3 linked regions of the Saccharomyces cerevisiae S288C genome follow. Changing the gene in region 3 together with the main gene of any one other region gives a genetic interaction. Each region holds a gene or a part of one and is shown on either strand. Other genes may lie near its edges.

Evidence for each region. Genes that interact genetically often act in the same process or in processes that back each other up.
Region 1: mutations in PTC4 (region 3) and TPH3 together harm fitness more than expected from each alone (negative genetic interaction), as found in Saccharomyces cerevisiae (one large-scale study listed by BioGRID).
Region 2: mutations in PTC4 (region 3) and SUB2 together harm fitness more than expected from each alone (negative genetic interaction), as found in Saccharomyces cerevisiae (one large-scale study listed by BioGRID).

The regions. Positions count from the first base shown.
Region 1 is NC_001142.9:404,044-410,316, forward strand, and holds TPH3 (Tph3p), read left to right. Parts: upstream 1-1,544; coding exon 1,545-3,230; downstream 3,231-6,273. Other genes in the region: MPS3 (Mps3p), read left to right, coding at 1-902; chaperonin-containing T-complex subunit CCT3, read left to right, coding at 3,515-5,119; MAD3 (Mad3p), read right to left, coding at 5,450-6,273.
Region 2 is NC_001136.10:303,255-309,620, reverse strand, and holds SUB2 (ATP-dependent RNA helicase SUB2), read right to left. Parts: upstream 4,385-6,366; coding exon 3,044-4,384; downstream 1-3,043. Other genes in the region: 60S ribosomal protein eL13 RPL13A, read right to left, coding at 233-828, 1,194-1,197; 40S ribosomal protein uS9 RPS16B, read left to right, coding at 1,832-1,855, 2,288-2,695; NADH-ubiquinone reductase (H(+)-translocating) NDE2, read right to left, coding at 4,773-6,366. UniProt on the Saccharomyces cerevisiae protein: ATP-binding RNA helicase component of the TREX complex involved in transcription elongation and required for the export of mRNA out of the nucleus. SUB2 also plays a role in pre-mRNA splicing and spliceosome assembly.
Region 3 is NC_001134.8:486,699-490,059, reverse strand, and holds PTC4 (type 2C protein phosphatase PTC4), read left to right. Parts: upstream 1-1,679; coding exon 1,680-2,861; downstream 2,862-3,361. Other genes in the region: alpha,alpha-trehalose-phosphate synthase (UDP-forming) TPS1, read left to right, coding at 1-1,155.

The DNA.
Region 1 (6,273 bases), on a different chromosome or scaffold from region 3:
AGATCACAAATAGGTTAGAGACACAGCAGCAGCAGCAGCAGCAGCAGGTTCAACAGGATTATTCTAACGTGCCACAGCAGTATTCGAGCATATTAATGAAAAGATTAATTCACCAAATTTACAATTCCAATCAACACCAATGGGAGGACGATTTAGATTTTGCTACTTATGTTCAAGGTACTAAACTATTGAACCATTTAACTTCACCAACCTGGAGACAGGGCAGTGGGGTACAGCCGATAGAATTACTGACCGACTCCAAACAAAGCTCCTCAACTTACTGGCAATGTGAGAACGAACCTGGGTGTTCATGGGCCATAAGGTTTAAAACTCCTTTGTATCTAACCAAAATTTCGTACATGCATGGCCGTTTTACTAATAACCTACATATAATGAACTCAGCACCAAGACTGATCTCATTATATGTAAAACTGTCACAGACTAAAGAGATCAAAGCATTGCAGACATTGGCAAATCAATACGGTTTCGGGCAGCATCACAAGAGAGACCGAAATTACATCAAGATCGCAAAATTTGAGTACAGGTTGACAGATTCTAGAATACGCCAACAAATGTATCTGCCCCCATGGTTCATTCAGTTAAAACCACTCGTACGCTCAATTGTCTTTCAAGTGGACGAGAACTACGGGAACAAAAAGTTCATATCTCTGAGGAAATTTATCATCAACGGAGTGACACCGCAGGATTTGCAAATAATTGAAAATAACGAGTTCCCTGTTTTACTGGGTGACACCCCAGAATATGGTGTCACTCAGAACACCGACGAAGGCAAGAGGAAAGTTCTCCTATCAAAGCCTCCTTACGCGTCTTCATCTACTAGTACCAAGTTTCATCCCGCTTCTAACGTCCCATCATTTGGCCAAGATGAGCTAGATCAATAAACGACAATAAAAAATTAAACGTTCTAACCCCCTGGCCCCCAGAAAATCGCGCAGATTGACGGCACTCCCTTTAAATCATAGAGTTAATCAGCTACTCACCACTCTCTTTCGGTACTGGCGTTATTCTGAATTCCAACCTTGAACACAGCCACACGGCATTCAGATGTTGCTCCCATGCGTGGACTCACGCTCTGCGATTAACAGCTCATGGAAATTTCCTCGTGCTATTTAAGACTGCAGTCGTTTGGAAATCGGAATATCTTTTTTCGTGCAGTTTTGCGGGAAATTTTCCCTACTTAAAAAGCTGAATGAAAATCAGAAATATCTGCAAAAAAAAAAGGTAAAAAAGGGAAATTTTAAGACATAGCATAAAGGACTTGGTTTTGTTTCAATACTCAGCCCTTTTCATTCATTTCTATCACAAGTTTTTTTTTGCTCTCGTTTCCATTTTCTTCGTTTACTTATTATTGACGTACATCTTTTTTAGTTTCAAATAACATAGCAAGAAGGCTTAACTAAGTTCCTATATTCTTGGCATATTTATCATCATCAGGTCTTTTAAAAGTATCTCAGAACGTAACTTCAACGCCTTTAGATTTTTTTCACAACACGACTCTATTGCAAGAGACAAAAAAAATTAAAATGGGCATTTTGGACTCGCTGAAAAAACCTGTTAATATCAAGAGTTCGCTCCCCAAATTCTCCCGCAGTGCTACCAGCATCAATTTAAGTAGCCACCCAGTAAGTTCACGGTCCTTCCTCGAATTACCACCAGAGCTTTTCAGCATCACTAAACCTATATTTAAGCTTCTGCAAGCACACGCAAATAAGATTTACTTCCAATCTTCCGACGCTGAGGCTGTATGGAATGTTAAGGATTCTTCTGGACATGTTTTTGAAGCAGAGTCAATTTCTTTGCTCGGCTCTCATATAATTATCACAAATTCCTCTGTACAAGTCGCAGACGTGGCCATCATAGATTCCCCTTCCAACATAAACCAATGTGAAATTTCAAGCGTTGGAGAGTTCCTGCAATTCAATAATGGCCAACTATCTATCACATGTAACGATTTTGGTTTACTGGAGAAGTTCAAAAGGTTGTGTATGATTTCTATTTTTGAGTTCATTTCTATATATAAGGCCTTGACAGGCACAGTGATTTCCTCTTATGGGCTGAGAATGTCTGATATGCATATCATTTTGAACTCGCCGTTCAATTTTAAGGATTGGTGTGAAGTTTATCTTGATGGTCAAGGTTGGGTGAAAGTGTGGTGTCATATTGATAAAGTGTCTAAAACCAATAATTCTAAAAGTAGTAGTGACAATGATGCTAAAGGAAAGTATCAAATACGGTTTTATAGAGATGACAAATCCACATCTAGCAAGAACTGCGTTTTTTTTATTCCTGACAATGAGTACGTTCAAGATATTTTCTTTTATAACATCAATGCGGCAGAACCTTCTAAAAATATGAACGACTTTTTTCAAGGGTTGCAAATGATAAAGCTCGTTGGTAATGTACGCTTTTGCAGTGATACGGACTTTAATGATGTGGTGGATAGTGGATCCATCTATAGTAGTGCAAACAACGGCAGTGGTGACAGCAGCTCGACAGCATTGAATAATGAAAGTCCTAACACTACACCAAAAAGTAGAACTTTCTTTTCACCTAAAGGGCACAGAAGAAATAGCTCCCATGTAAGTTCGTTAACTTCTAGATCAACAAAAAAGCCTATAACTAACTTCACTACACGTACAAATGGGCTTTTGATTAGGCCATTGCCCCATCATGGCGTACATCACCTGGAAGCAATGATCAGGTTCATTATTCCTTTGATGGATTGTGCAAGACTTTATGGGCGTCCAGTTCAATTCAAGACAGAAAGAACCGATATAAATTCGTTAATGTTTGGATTACCTAAATTGCCCTCAGTGGATTATTTTGCTGAAGAGGAGATTGCCCATTTGATGACCCAGGAATTTAATCCTTTGAAAGAAAAAGATACTGACGATACTATGGCTTTAACTATGTCAAGATTTTCTAGCTACCTGCAAGAAAGAATGACAAAAGTCTCCAAGAGAAACACAGAACTCAACTTCAGGACCTTTAGTGATGTAATGGGCATGTATAATACTACGAGGGATCACTCTAAACTTAATTGCATGAGTGACAAGGATAATTCTGTGAAGGAATTTTCATTGAGTGATAAAAGCAATGTTAGTTCTGAAACGACTAATATGATGAATCAATTGCAAGTAAACGCCCATGAATACAAAAGTTCTATGTGCGAACGTCCTATCGTCGCAAGTACTTCGCCCATTGCATAGTTCTTCGCATATATAGCCACATCTCAAAAACTTACATACAGTGTATATATTTGTGGTACAGTTTCTGTATAGCCAAATATACCCTGATATAATCTTATGTGATATTATATACTTCCATCCTAATACTAAACTTTTTCGTTTAACGTGACGCATGGTGCGAAGAAAAAAAAATAGCAAATCGCCACTCAATAAAGTGAGTAGAGAGCATTATATCAAAAAAGCATCGATAATATCGAGTGATCATACGTTGAAAATCATCAAGTACAATAGTGATATAAGCCACAATGCAAGCTCCAGTGGTATTTATGAATGCTTCTCAAGAGAGAACTACCGGTCGTCAGGCCCAAATCTCCAATATCACTGCTGCAAAGGCAGTTGCCGATGTCATTCGAACTTGCTTAGGTCCAAAAGCTATGTTAAAGATGTTATTGGATCCTATGGGCGGTCTTGTGTTGACTAACGATGGCCACGCTATTTTAAGGGAAATTGATGTTGCACATCCAGCAGCTAAATCAATGTTGGAGTTATCCCGTACTCAAGACGAAGAGGTTGGTGACGGGACTACAACAGTTATTATTCTAGCTGGTGAGATTTTAGCTCAGTGTGCACCTTATTTGATTGAAAAAAATATTCACCCTGTTATTATTATCCAAGCCTTGAAGAAAGCACTGACTGATGCACTAGAAGTTATCAAACAAGTAAGTAAACCTGTCGATGTGGAAAATGATGCCGCTATGAAAAAATTGATTCAAGCCTCTATCGGTACTAAATATGTCATACATTGGTCAGAGAAAATGTGTGAATTAGCTCTAGACGCTGTTAAGACTGTCCGTAAAGACCTGGGACAAACTGTGGAAGGTGAACCTAATTTTGAAATCGATATCAAAAGATATGTCCGTGTGGAGAAGATTCCTGGGGGGGATGTTCTAGATTCTCGCGTCTTAAAGGGTGTCTTATTGAACAAGGATGTTGTTCATCCAAAGATGTCCCGTCACATAGAGAATCCACGTGTTGTTCTTTTGGATTGTCCACTAGAATATAAGAAGGGTGAATCTCAAACCAACATAGAAATTGAAAAGGAGGAAGATTGGAATAGGATTTTACAAATCGAGGAAGAACAAGTTCAGCTAATGTGTGAACAAATTTTAGCCGTTAGGCCAACACTAGTCATCACTGAAAAAGGTGTTTCAGATCTAGCACAGCATTATTTACTAAAGGGTGGATGTAGTGTTTTAAGAAGAGTGAAGAAATCAGACAATAATAGAATTGCTCGTGTAACTGGTGCAACCATTGTCAATCGTGTAGAGGACTTGAAGGAAAGTGATGTCGGTACAAACTGTGGATTATTCAAAGTAGAAATGATTGGGGACGAATATTTCTCATTTTTGGATAACTGCAAGGAACCAAAAGCTTGTACCATAATGTTACGTGGTGGTTCCAAAGATATATTAAACGAAATAGATCGTAACCTACAAGATGCTATGGCTGTTGCTCGTAATGTGATGTTGAGTCCTTCCTTGTCCCCAGGTGGTGGTGCCACCGAGATGGCAGTTTCTGTCAAATTAGCAGAAAAGGCAAAGCAATTAGAAGGGATCCAGCAATGGCCATACCAAGCTGTAGCTGATGCTATGGAGTGTATTCCACGTACTTTGATACAAAATGCAGGTGGTGATCCTATTAGACTCCTATCCCAACTAAGAGCCAAACACGCACAGGGAAATTTTACAACAGGTATTGATGGTGACAAGGGGAAAATTGTAGATATGGTTAGTTACGGTATTTGGGAACCTGAAGTCATCAAGCAGCAAAGTGTCAAAACCGCTATTGAAAGTGCATGTTTACTATTAAGGGTTGATGATATTGTTAGTGGTGTAAGAAAACAAGAATAATAGCCTCGAGGTTAAACTTCATTACTGCCGTTTAATATTTGGTGTTTCTTCACATTTTTTTGTTTTTTTATACTATTGTAATGTATTTATATAGAATTAAAGTCCTCACTATAATTTTGTCATCCCTACAGTATGTCATAAGCGTTAATCGGACAAACGTTCATTTTAAAATTGGCCTTTTTATATTTATATTACTCCTCATAGGATTTAATATAGAAGTATCATTCGTTAAATAATCATTATATCATCTGTGCTTTAAATAAAAAAGTCGGCCGTCGATGTGTTTACGATTGGCCAGTATACTTACTCATTCATGGGATTAGTTTTATTTCAACGCTGTGGTGGGTACGATATGAAAGACGAACTCGACTTGTCATCATCTGAAATGATCTCAGAATTTTTGCTTTGAGAAAAAGAATTTGATTCTCTCATTTCTAAAATTGGGGTTAACTGCCGCGGCTTGACAGCTGAGATGATATCAGACGTCTCAGTGCTTCGTCCCTTTGGCGTCATAGGGCAGTTTATGTACTCTTCGCCAGAAAACATTCTTCCCTGGTTTGAGGGGGTCAACGACTTGGAGACTAAGGCTTTTCTACTTATTTTTGGTCTTTTCGATTGTGCTTCAGCTTCTTTTTGATTTGCGCTTTCTTCTTGCCCTAAATTTGCTTCTCTTGGATGTTTCCTATTTGTCCTAACCCTTTTATAAACGTTTCTAGAAATTGCCAAGACTTCTTCTAGCGAAAATTCTAGTCTACCACCTTTAGATTCCTCATCTTCACAATAAATCAGTTTAAAATTACAGTCAATTTTTTCTGGTTTCTGGTCCTTTGTATTAATCATTTGATAAACAGGGTCACTTCTACCTATAGAATCTCTAAAGATCGGTAGTTTTTCATCATATGGTCTCTTTTTTTGCGATAACATCTCATGTTGTTTAAGCTCACCCAAATTGGTATTTGCTTCTAGCAATGATATTCGAAGGTTGTTTTCTTTGTTCCTTTCTGCCTTTAAGTCAAAATTTTCCCAGCCATCTCTATAAACACCTCTATTCGGAGTTTCGAATAGTTCTACATCAGACTCTTCTCCATCTACAAATACGTTGTTTTTTGTTAAATTGACGTCACTTGATGTGCCATTTTGATTTGCAAGCTCTA
Region 2 (6,366 bases), on a different chromosome or scaffold from region 3:
GACTACTACTAATACAATAATGTTCCATCATATCAAGAAAACTGCGCTAACTTGTAAAAATACTGTCAACCATATTCTCACCCAGACTATAAAGTTAAGGAAATGATAAATTATAAGTGATGGCTTCCCGTTTATACATTGTACATATATATTATTTATGAAATTGAACAGATAAAAAAGAAGGAAAATACAAAAATTGTGGATGAAAAATTCTTTGATGAAGTTTTTAGATCTATTTCTTCTTTTCAGCTTCAGCTTCAGCCTTTTCTCTAGCTCTCTTTTCTCTGATACCTCTGAATTTCTTCTCAGATCTGGCTAATCTCAAGGTTCTGAAAGCAGATTCACCATTGTCTTGGACAGCTCTAGCTTCAACATCGGTAGCTGGTTGAGCAATTGGGAAAGTAGCAGCAGCAGACAAAACTTGTTCAGCTTCTGGGGCCTTACCATTTCTTGGGAAAACAATAATCTTAGATTGGTATTCCTTTAATCTTTGAACGTTAGCATCAAAGATTTCTTGGTTTCTGTTTTGACGTCTGTGGTCAACGGCGATACCGATAGTTCTGGCATAAGCAGCAGTCAAACCAGCGGCCTTAACTTCAGCCAAGGTGAAACCTCTGCCAGCTCTGACCTTTCTGTTATACTTAACAGTTGGGGCTCTAACAACAGGTCTCAAGAGATCTAGAGGTCTTGGAGCAATCTTAGCGGCTCTGGTAGCTCTAGCATTACGTCTAGAAACCTTCTTACCAGCTTGGTCGAAGTGCACTTTAACACGTTCTTGCCAGTGCTTTCTGAAATGATTCTTTAAGATTGGTAAATTCTTGGAAATGGCTGATATAATTCAATTGGTAGATCCCATTTTAAAAATTGTTAGTATACAGAAAAGTGGACGTTTCAATTAGACACCAAATTTATCATATTATCTAAGAAGACTCTAACAATGAGTTCAGCAAATAGTGGTACAAAGGTCCTGTCTCGAATTTGCTTGGCCATTACTATGACTGCTCAGTTATTGTAAAAAGGAGAAAAATCTCATGATTTATTAGAAAATAACTTTAGCCTCTCTAGGTTCATCAATAACGTGTGTTGTATTATGCATGCCTTTGTGCACTAGTATAATCCTCTAAGGTAACAAGCGAGCTTCTTTGGTCTATGAAATGACAAAAGTGATTTGAATTATTTTATAGTAGACATACCCATTGTGTACGATTCCTGCTGTGCTGTACTATGCTTTTCTCAAACCCCTTCGAACAGAATGCTGCAAGCTTAAATGGATTAGTAGCTAATATCCGATCATTTCAAATTTTCCAAGATTTCCACACCTCTACTGTGATTATTCCGACTAGAAAAAAATTAAATTTTCTAACTACAAAAAATTGCCTGCATATATGTAAGGATGTAACAGGAAATGTATGGGTCACATATTAATAGCTTGTTTTACTCCATAAAAGAGTCTGATATTCAGAAAAAACACCCATACATGTTGAAAAATAATGCATTGTGAAAAAAAGTGGTTGAAAAATGTATGCGATCTAGGAAAAACTGAATTTTCCTTAGGTTGTCGCTCCTCCTCTAGAAGGATGCTGTGGCCTTTGACCTGGGCGGAAATTCTCTCTGTTTCCCTCTAGCTGAGGGAAACAGAACTGGTAGCAGTTCGTTCCGGCCAGGCCGCGTGAGCCTATACCACCGAATATTATCCTAGCGCAGAGAGTAACACTGGCAAAGTCAAAAGTAAATGCCATGTAAAATGTATAGGTTACGCAGTAGACTATTTAATATATACCTTTTTATTTAGCAGTGTTTCGAAAAATACAGCAAGAGAATAAGCAACAAGATGTCTGCCGTCCCAAGTGTCCAAGTATGTTAAATAATTTAAACGATGTCACGAATTTGTGAGGGATATTGAAACCATGCAGTGAGATAATTTCAATTTAAGAACCATATCACCTGAATAAGACGGGTGGGGCAAGCACTAGATGCGAATCATAGTTTTAGAACAACGGATCACCATTTCACACGTTAAAGACCGAGTAGAAATAACCAATAAATTGTGTGGGAAAATATTATACTTAATTTCTCTGTGGAGTAAAGTAATGAGCGTCTTTTGCGGTCTTATTTATTCATTCGCTCCCCTTGCAATGAATTTTGAACAGAATGCTCCAAAGAGGAAGTGCCAGGGTACCTCACTTGTTTCACCCTTTTACACAGTTCATAATATTTTTGAGGATTTTGAATTTCTGTTTTACTAACATGTGACACGAAATGTTTTTCATTTTTGGTTTTATAACAGACTTTTGGTAAGAAGAAATCAGCTACCGCTGTTGCCCACGTCAAGGCCGGTAAGGGTTTGATTAAGGTCAACGGTTCTCCAATCACTTTGGTTGAACCAGAAATCCTAAGATTCAAGGTCTACGAACCATTATTGTTGGTTGGTTTGGACAAGTTCTCCAACATCGATATCAGAGTTAGAGTCACTGGTGGTGGTCATGTTTCTCAAGTCTACGCCATCAGACAAGCTATTGCTAAGGGTTTAGTCGCTTACCACCAAAAGTACGTTGACGAACAATCCAAGAACGAATTGAAGAAGGCCTTCACCTCTTACGACAGAACTTTGTTGATCGCTGATTCTAGAAGACCAGAACCAAAGAAATTCGGTGGTAAGGGTGCTCGTTCTAGATTCCAAAAATCTTACCGTTAAGAAAATTTCAAGATTTTTTCCAGAAATCTCTTCACTTTTCTTTGCACATCTATTGTATTAAAAAACTTTTTACTTACATATACTGTATATCTTCCTATAACGGGTAAAACGTTAATTTAGAATCATTCCCAAAACTTCATTTCCTTATCATGCTTTGCCATGTGATGCCCAATAGAATTGTCTTGTGCGTTCACGAAATGACTACACTACGTTCATTTTCCAACAAAAACTCAATCTTTCGCTATAACTGCTAATTTTTTTCCACTTCCCCTTTTTTGTTTGTTTTGTTCGTTTGAATAATACAAAATCTTTATATAATCTATATAAAAACGTATCTTTTTTCCTTTATTAATTATTCAAATAAGTGGACGGATCAATGCCTTCTTCTGGGAATTCAGCGATTTTGACATCGAAACGCTCTTGGATCTTAGCCAAGACTTCCTCATCTTCCTTTGAAGAAACGAATGAAATAGCCAAACCCTTAGTACCAAATCTACCAGCTCTACCGACACGATGTAAATATTGGTCAGCTTCATTAGTCAAATCGTAATTGATGGCTAAATTAATACGTTCAATATCGATACCTCTACCAAAAACATCTGTGGACACGCAAATACGTTTTTCAAAATCTTTGAAAGCCTTGTAACGAGCAATACGTTCTTCTTGTTTCATATGACCATGAACGGTGATAGCCGGAAAGTTAGAGGCGTTTAATAGTTTGGTCAACTCATTAGCTCTTGTGGTAGATTTAACGAAAATAATGACTTGATTGAACTCCAAATCATCTAATAATTGAGCCAATTTACGGTTCTTTTCACGTTCTTCTAATTTGATATAATATTGTTGCAACCCGTGCAAGGTTAGCTTAGCTTCATCATCGACGAAAATTTCCAATGGATTCTGTAAGAAGCGTCTACAAATTGGTCTAATTTCTTGAGAAAGTGTGGCTGAAAACATCATGACTTGTTTGTCTCTTGGAGTAGCTCTGAAAATTTCTTGCACATCTCTTCTCATGTCTAATTCTTCTAAAACCTTATCACATTCATCTATGACAAAGTTCTTGACGTGTGACAAATCAATGTATTTTTCTCTCACTAACGCTTTTAAACGACCTGGAGTTGCAACAACAATGTGAGGAGCAGTATCTTTATTCTTTAAAAGTTCAGCATCCTTAGAAATTGGAGTACCACCGTAAAAGACTGCTGTCTTAACGTCTGGCATATATTTGGAAAATCTCAAATACTCGTTACGAATTTGATAGGCCAGTTCTCTAGCATTACAAATGACAACAACGGCAACTTCACCTGGAACAGGGTCCAATTGTTGCAGAGTGGATAAGACAAAGACAGCTGTCTTACCTAAACCAGACTTTGCTTGACACAAGACATCGGTACCATGAATTGACTGAGGAATGGTATGTTGCTGGACCTCAGAAGGATGTTCAAAACCACAGTCAATGATGGCTCTTGATAGTTCTGGCTTTAGCAAGAAATCTTTGAAACCGGTGGAATGGATACCAACATAGGAACCTTTCTTGTCGCCAGCTGCAGTGTTGTTATTATTATCACCTTCAGTTGCAGAAGTGGCGGCGCCAGTTTCTCCAGCTTCAGCGGCCTTAGAGGCATCAATTTGAATTTCTTGTTCGTTATCGGAGTACTCCAATAAATCTTCTTCACCTTCGTGTGACATCGTTGCTGTTTTTAAAAAAATGAACGAGCTTTTTTTAACCTATTGCCAAAGTGAATATAAGCTAGTTATACCGATGAGAATAGTAACGTAAAATTCCAACAGGCAAACAGTTCCGTGTTACGACTTACAAAAATAACAACACTCAGAAAGATATCACCTCAAACTTCTGCCCTCTAGCTACTATATCAGGTATTGAAGAAACCCTTTGTTTATTCGGCGTGTTGTCGACTATTTTTTTCTTAAATTTTCATCACATATACAAATAATATCACTGTTAACGAGTAAGGGTAACGCGAATCTTCCATGACCAATAAAGGGAAATACTGGTTATAATACGTAAATGATAGTAAACAATTTGAATTGGAACAATGAATATATAAAACAAGGACTACACGGAGGAATCCCTTCCAAGAAAGTAAACTTTGGTCCAGTCCATGGCAATTAAAATCCTATTCCTGATAGAGAGACACATGGCCAAATAAGCGGATTTCCAAAACAAGAAGGCAAACATACCTTTCAACTGGTATGATGAGTCGCCCATATGCAAATCTGCAATTGCGGTTTCAGAGCCGATGTACGCAAGGGCACCCATATGCTTGTAGTTGAACTTATCCAACTTAGATTTCCTCAAATTAACCTCTTTTTGTAGACGTGATACCTCAGTTTCATCGGTACTGTTGAGCATGTCCCATTCCAATTGTTCTATCTGTAATTTTTTATCCAAGATCTTGGCCAAGTATTCGCCTTCCTGATGTGCAACTTGTGCCGTGGGAAAGAAACCCGTGTGTGCGGTACAATCACCAATTGCATAAATCGAATTCTCAGAACCGAGAAGCTCCAACTTGTCATTAATTAACAGACCACGCCTATTAGTTTGCTCCGGTATTCTACTCATCAGTGTCTTTGAAAAATCGATTGGTTCATTTCCCGTGGCCCAAACCAGCATCCCGTATTCGATATCCGTGTTTGTTTGGCCGTTTTGCAGAGTGCGTATATAGGTTGGCTCTACGACTTTCACGGCAGTATTCACTTGCAAGTCAATTTCATCTCTGGCAAAAAGGTCCTCGGCATACTTGATCAACGTCTTATCGAACATGTTTAGGATATTAGGCAGGGCTTCAATTAAGATAACCTTCATTTCTTTACTTAAGTCGGGCATCCACTTCCTCAAATCTTGATTGATGTAATCTTGCAGTTCGGCGGCAAATTCAACCCCCGTAGGGCCCCCTCCAACAACCACGAACGTTAATAATCGCTTCCTTTCCGGATCGTTCACAGGAAATGAACTTGCCTGTTCTATGGTTTTCATTAACTTCATACGAATATTTTGAGCATCTTCAATCTCTTTCAAGAAGTTAGCATTGCCATAGACCCCGGGAATGTTAAAAGTAGTGGTTTTAGCGCCTACACTAACAACAAGATAATCGTAACTTAAGCTCGAAACGAAATATTCGTCCTCTGACACCGATTGCACCATTACTTTTTTGGCCTTTGGATCAACGTCCAACGCTTCCGCCTCAATGTAGTGAACTTCTCCAGGCGTTCTTCTAGCGATCGATCTAACCGGTTCGACAATAGACTTCATCTCTATCGTACCCACAGGCGTTGAGGGTAATAACGGTGTGAACAAAAAGAAGCTTCTTGGCGACACCACGGTCACGTTATACAAAGACGTGTCTAATTTCTTCAAAAGAGATATGGCGCCCCAGCCTGTACCCAAAATAACCAGCTCCTTCTTTTTCAAACCATTAGCAAAAGCGGTCGATTGGGGAACCTGTTTGGGTGGGTTCGATTCTTTGTACAGCTCGTATGACACATACAATGTGCCGGCCAACGTCGTGTAAAAGGTTAACTTTAAACCTCTGACAAACCATTTCTTGAATACCGCAGTGTAAGATTTCGATAGCTTCTGCTGTGGTCCGGGCTTACCAACTTCAGTGGAATGGAAAAAAGGTTTAGAGATCTGGGTCATCTTGAAACGG
Region 3 (3,361 bases):
CCGTTATTCCATTACCATCCTGGTGAGATCAATTTCGACGAGAATGCGTGGTTGGCATACAACGAGGCAAACCAGACGTTCACCAACGAGATTGCTAAGACTATGAACCATAACGATTTAATCTGGGTGCATGATTACCATTTGATGTTGGTTCCGGAAATGTTGAGAGTCAAGATTCACGAGAAGCAACTGCAAAACGTTAAGGTCGGGTGGTTCCTGCACACACCATTCCCTTCGAGTGAAATTTACAGAATCTTACCTGTCAGACAAGAGATTTTGAAGGGTGTTTTGAGTTGTGATTTAGTCGGGTTCCACACATACGATTATGCAAGACATTTCTTGTCTTCCGTGCAAAGAGTGCTTAACGTGAACACATTGCCTAATGGGGTGGAATACCAGGGCAGATTCGTTAACGTAGGGGCCTTCCCTATCGGTATCGACGTGGACAAGTTCACCGATGGGTTGAAAAAGGAATCCGTACAAAAGAGAATCCAACAATTGAAGGAAACTTTCAAGGGCTGCAAGATCATAGTTGGTGTCGACAGGCTGGATTACATCAAAGGTGTGCCTCAGAAGTTGCACGCCATGGAAGTGTTTCTGAACGAGCATCCAGAATGGAGGGGCAAGGTTGTTCTGGTACAGGTTGCAGTGCCAAGTCGTGGAGATGTGGAAGAGTACCAATATTTAAGATCTGTGGTCAATGAGTTGGTCGGTAGAATCAACGGTCAGTTCGGTACTGTGGAATTCGTCCCCATCCATTTCATGCACAAGTCTATACCATTTGAAGAGCTGATTTCGTTATATGCTGTGAGCGATGTTTGTTTGGTCTCGTCCACCCGTGATGGTATGAACTTGGTTTCCTACGAATATATTGCTTGCCAAGAAGAAAAGAAAGGTTCCTTAATCCTGAGTGAGTTCACAGGTGCCGCACAATCCTTGAATGGTGCTATTATTGTAAATCCTTGGAACACCGATGATCTTTCTGATGCCATCAACGAGGCCTTGACTTTGCCCGATGTAAAGAAAGAAGTTAACTGGGAAAAACTTTACAAATACATCTCTAAATACACTTCTGCCTTCTGGGGTGAAAATTTCGTCCATGAATTATACAGTACATCATCAAGCTCAACAAGCTCCTCTGCCACCAAAAACTGATGAACCCGATGCAAATGAGACGATCGTCTATTCCTGGTCCGGTTTTCTCTGCCCTCTCTTCTATTCACTTTTTTTATACTTTATATAAAATTATATAAATGACATAACTGAAACGCCACACGTCCTCTCCTATTCGTTAACGCCTGTCTGTAGCGCTGTTACTGAAGCTGCGCAAGTAGTTTTTTCACCGTATAGGCCCTCTTTTTCTCTCTCTTTCTTTCTCTCCCGCGCTGATCTCTTCTTCGAAACATCATGAATAAAAAGAAAAAGGAAATCAAGAAAAAAAAGCCATAATTTATCCCACATTTTTTTTTATTGTCGCTGTTCACACCGCATAACGAAGATATTGGCTACATAAACAATTGACATTGGATCTCTAGTTTTACGTTGTTTTCAACTGCATCTTTTTCTTCTTTCTTAGCACGGAGCCCTTACGTCTTCTTTTCTATCCCATCGCCCTTTTTGCCTCTATTCTCCCCTATATAGCCATTTTAGAAAGTAACTTCAATTTGAAGAAGACAAAAATGGGTCAATTGCTTTCCCATCCGTTGACGGAGAAGACCATAGAATATAATGAATATAAAAACAACCAGGCGTCAACTGGTATTGTTCCACGATTTTACAATTGTGTGGGGTCCATGCAAGGCTATCGTTTGACTCAGGAAGATGCACATCTAATTAGAAATGAAAACTCTGTTGTGTACGTACGATTTTTCAACCCATTCATAGACAAATACGAAACCCTGTCATTGAACGTCTTCGCAGTATTCGATGGTCATGGTGGAGATGATTGTTCGAAATTTCTAAGCGGCGGCCGCCACCATCGCGATGGTAACGGCAGTAGCAACGGTAATGGTGAACCCAACGCTGGCCTGATCAAATGGATTGCGTATAGTTTCGAAAACCACCATTACACATCTACAACTAATAACGACTCATCAAAATTTAAAAGATCCTTCAATACGTTGGAAGGACTTGTTTCTCAAATTTTTAAAGACGCTTTCATATTGCAAGATGAAGAGTTATATCGACATTTTGCCAACAGTTCGTGTGGATCTACAGCAGTAGTAGCATGCATCATAAACGAGGAATCACTGTATGTGGCTAACTGTGGTGATTCGCGATGTATTCTTTCCTCCAAATCGAATGGCATAAAGACGATGTCTTTCGATCATAAGCCACAACACATAGGAGAATTGATACGTATAAACGATAATGGTGGTACTGTCTCTCTTGGAAGAGTGGGTGGAGTACTGGCTCTCAGTAGGGCATTTAGTGATTTCCAATTCAAGAGAGGTGTCACTTATCCACATAGAAGGACAAAACTAACAAATATTACCCAGAATTTAACTTATGGAACCCCACCACAAGAAGCACAAGTTACCGTTGAACCAGACGTATTGATGCACAAGATTGACTATTCTAAAGATGAGTTTTTAGTACTGGCTTGCGACGGTATATGGGATATTTATAACAACAAACAGTTAATTCACTTTATAAAGTATCACCTGGTATCAGGGACGAAGTTGGATACAATAATAACAAAATTGTTGGACCACGGGATAGCGCAGGCAAATAGCAATACTGGTGTCGGCTTTGACAATATGACTGCCATCATTGTAGTGCTAAACCGGAAAGGCGAAACATTGCAAGACTGGTTTAATAAAATGAAGACCCGTTTGGAAAGAGAAAGGGGCCTAGTGTAAGGAAAAAAAATTATTTTTCTTCTTCCTTTTTCTCATACATATCTGAACGTGTGGTTAATGTGTCTGTGTATTAGTGTATAGGATCAACTGCTTGGGAGATGAAATAACAAAAGTACCTTAAAACGACCTCATTATCACATTTTTTTTTTTACTTTATTATTTTATTGTGCTTTTTAGTGTTGTAGAAAACCAAAGCAATCCTTTTAAATGAATTTTTATATACATACGTGTATATGAATATGAATATGAGTTTACCCCATCTTTAAGCTCTGCTGTGTTTTGGAAATAAATTCACATATTCATGTTTAGTTTTCCTTTTACATAATTTGGTCTTAGTACAGAGAAGTCCTCTTCTTCGCTTCTTCGCTTTTGGTCTTTCTGAAAAAGATCGATAAATAACATCCTAAAGACAGGAACTGAAAGACAACACAGAAAAGGTATACCAAGGGAAAAACATAATTAATCTCTATAGCTTTCAAGAGCGAAAATATCTTCCAAAT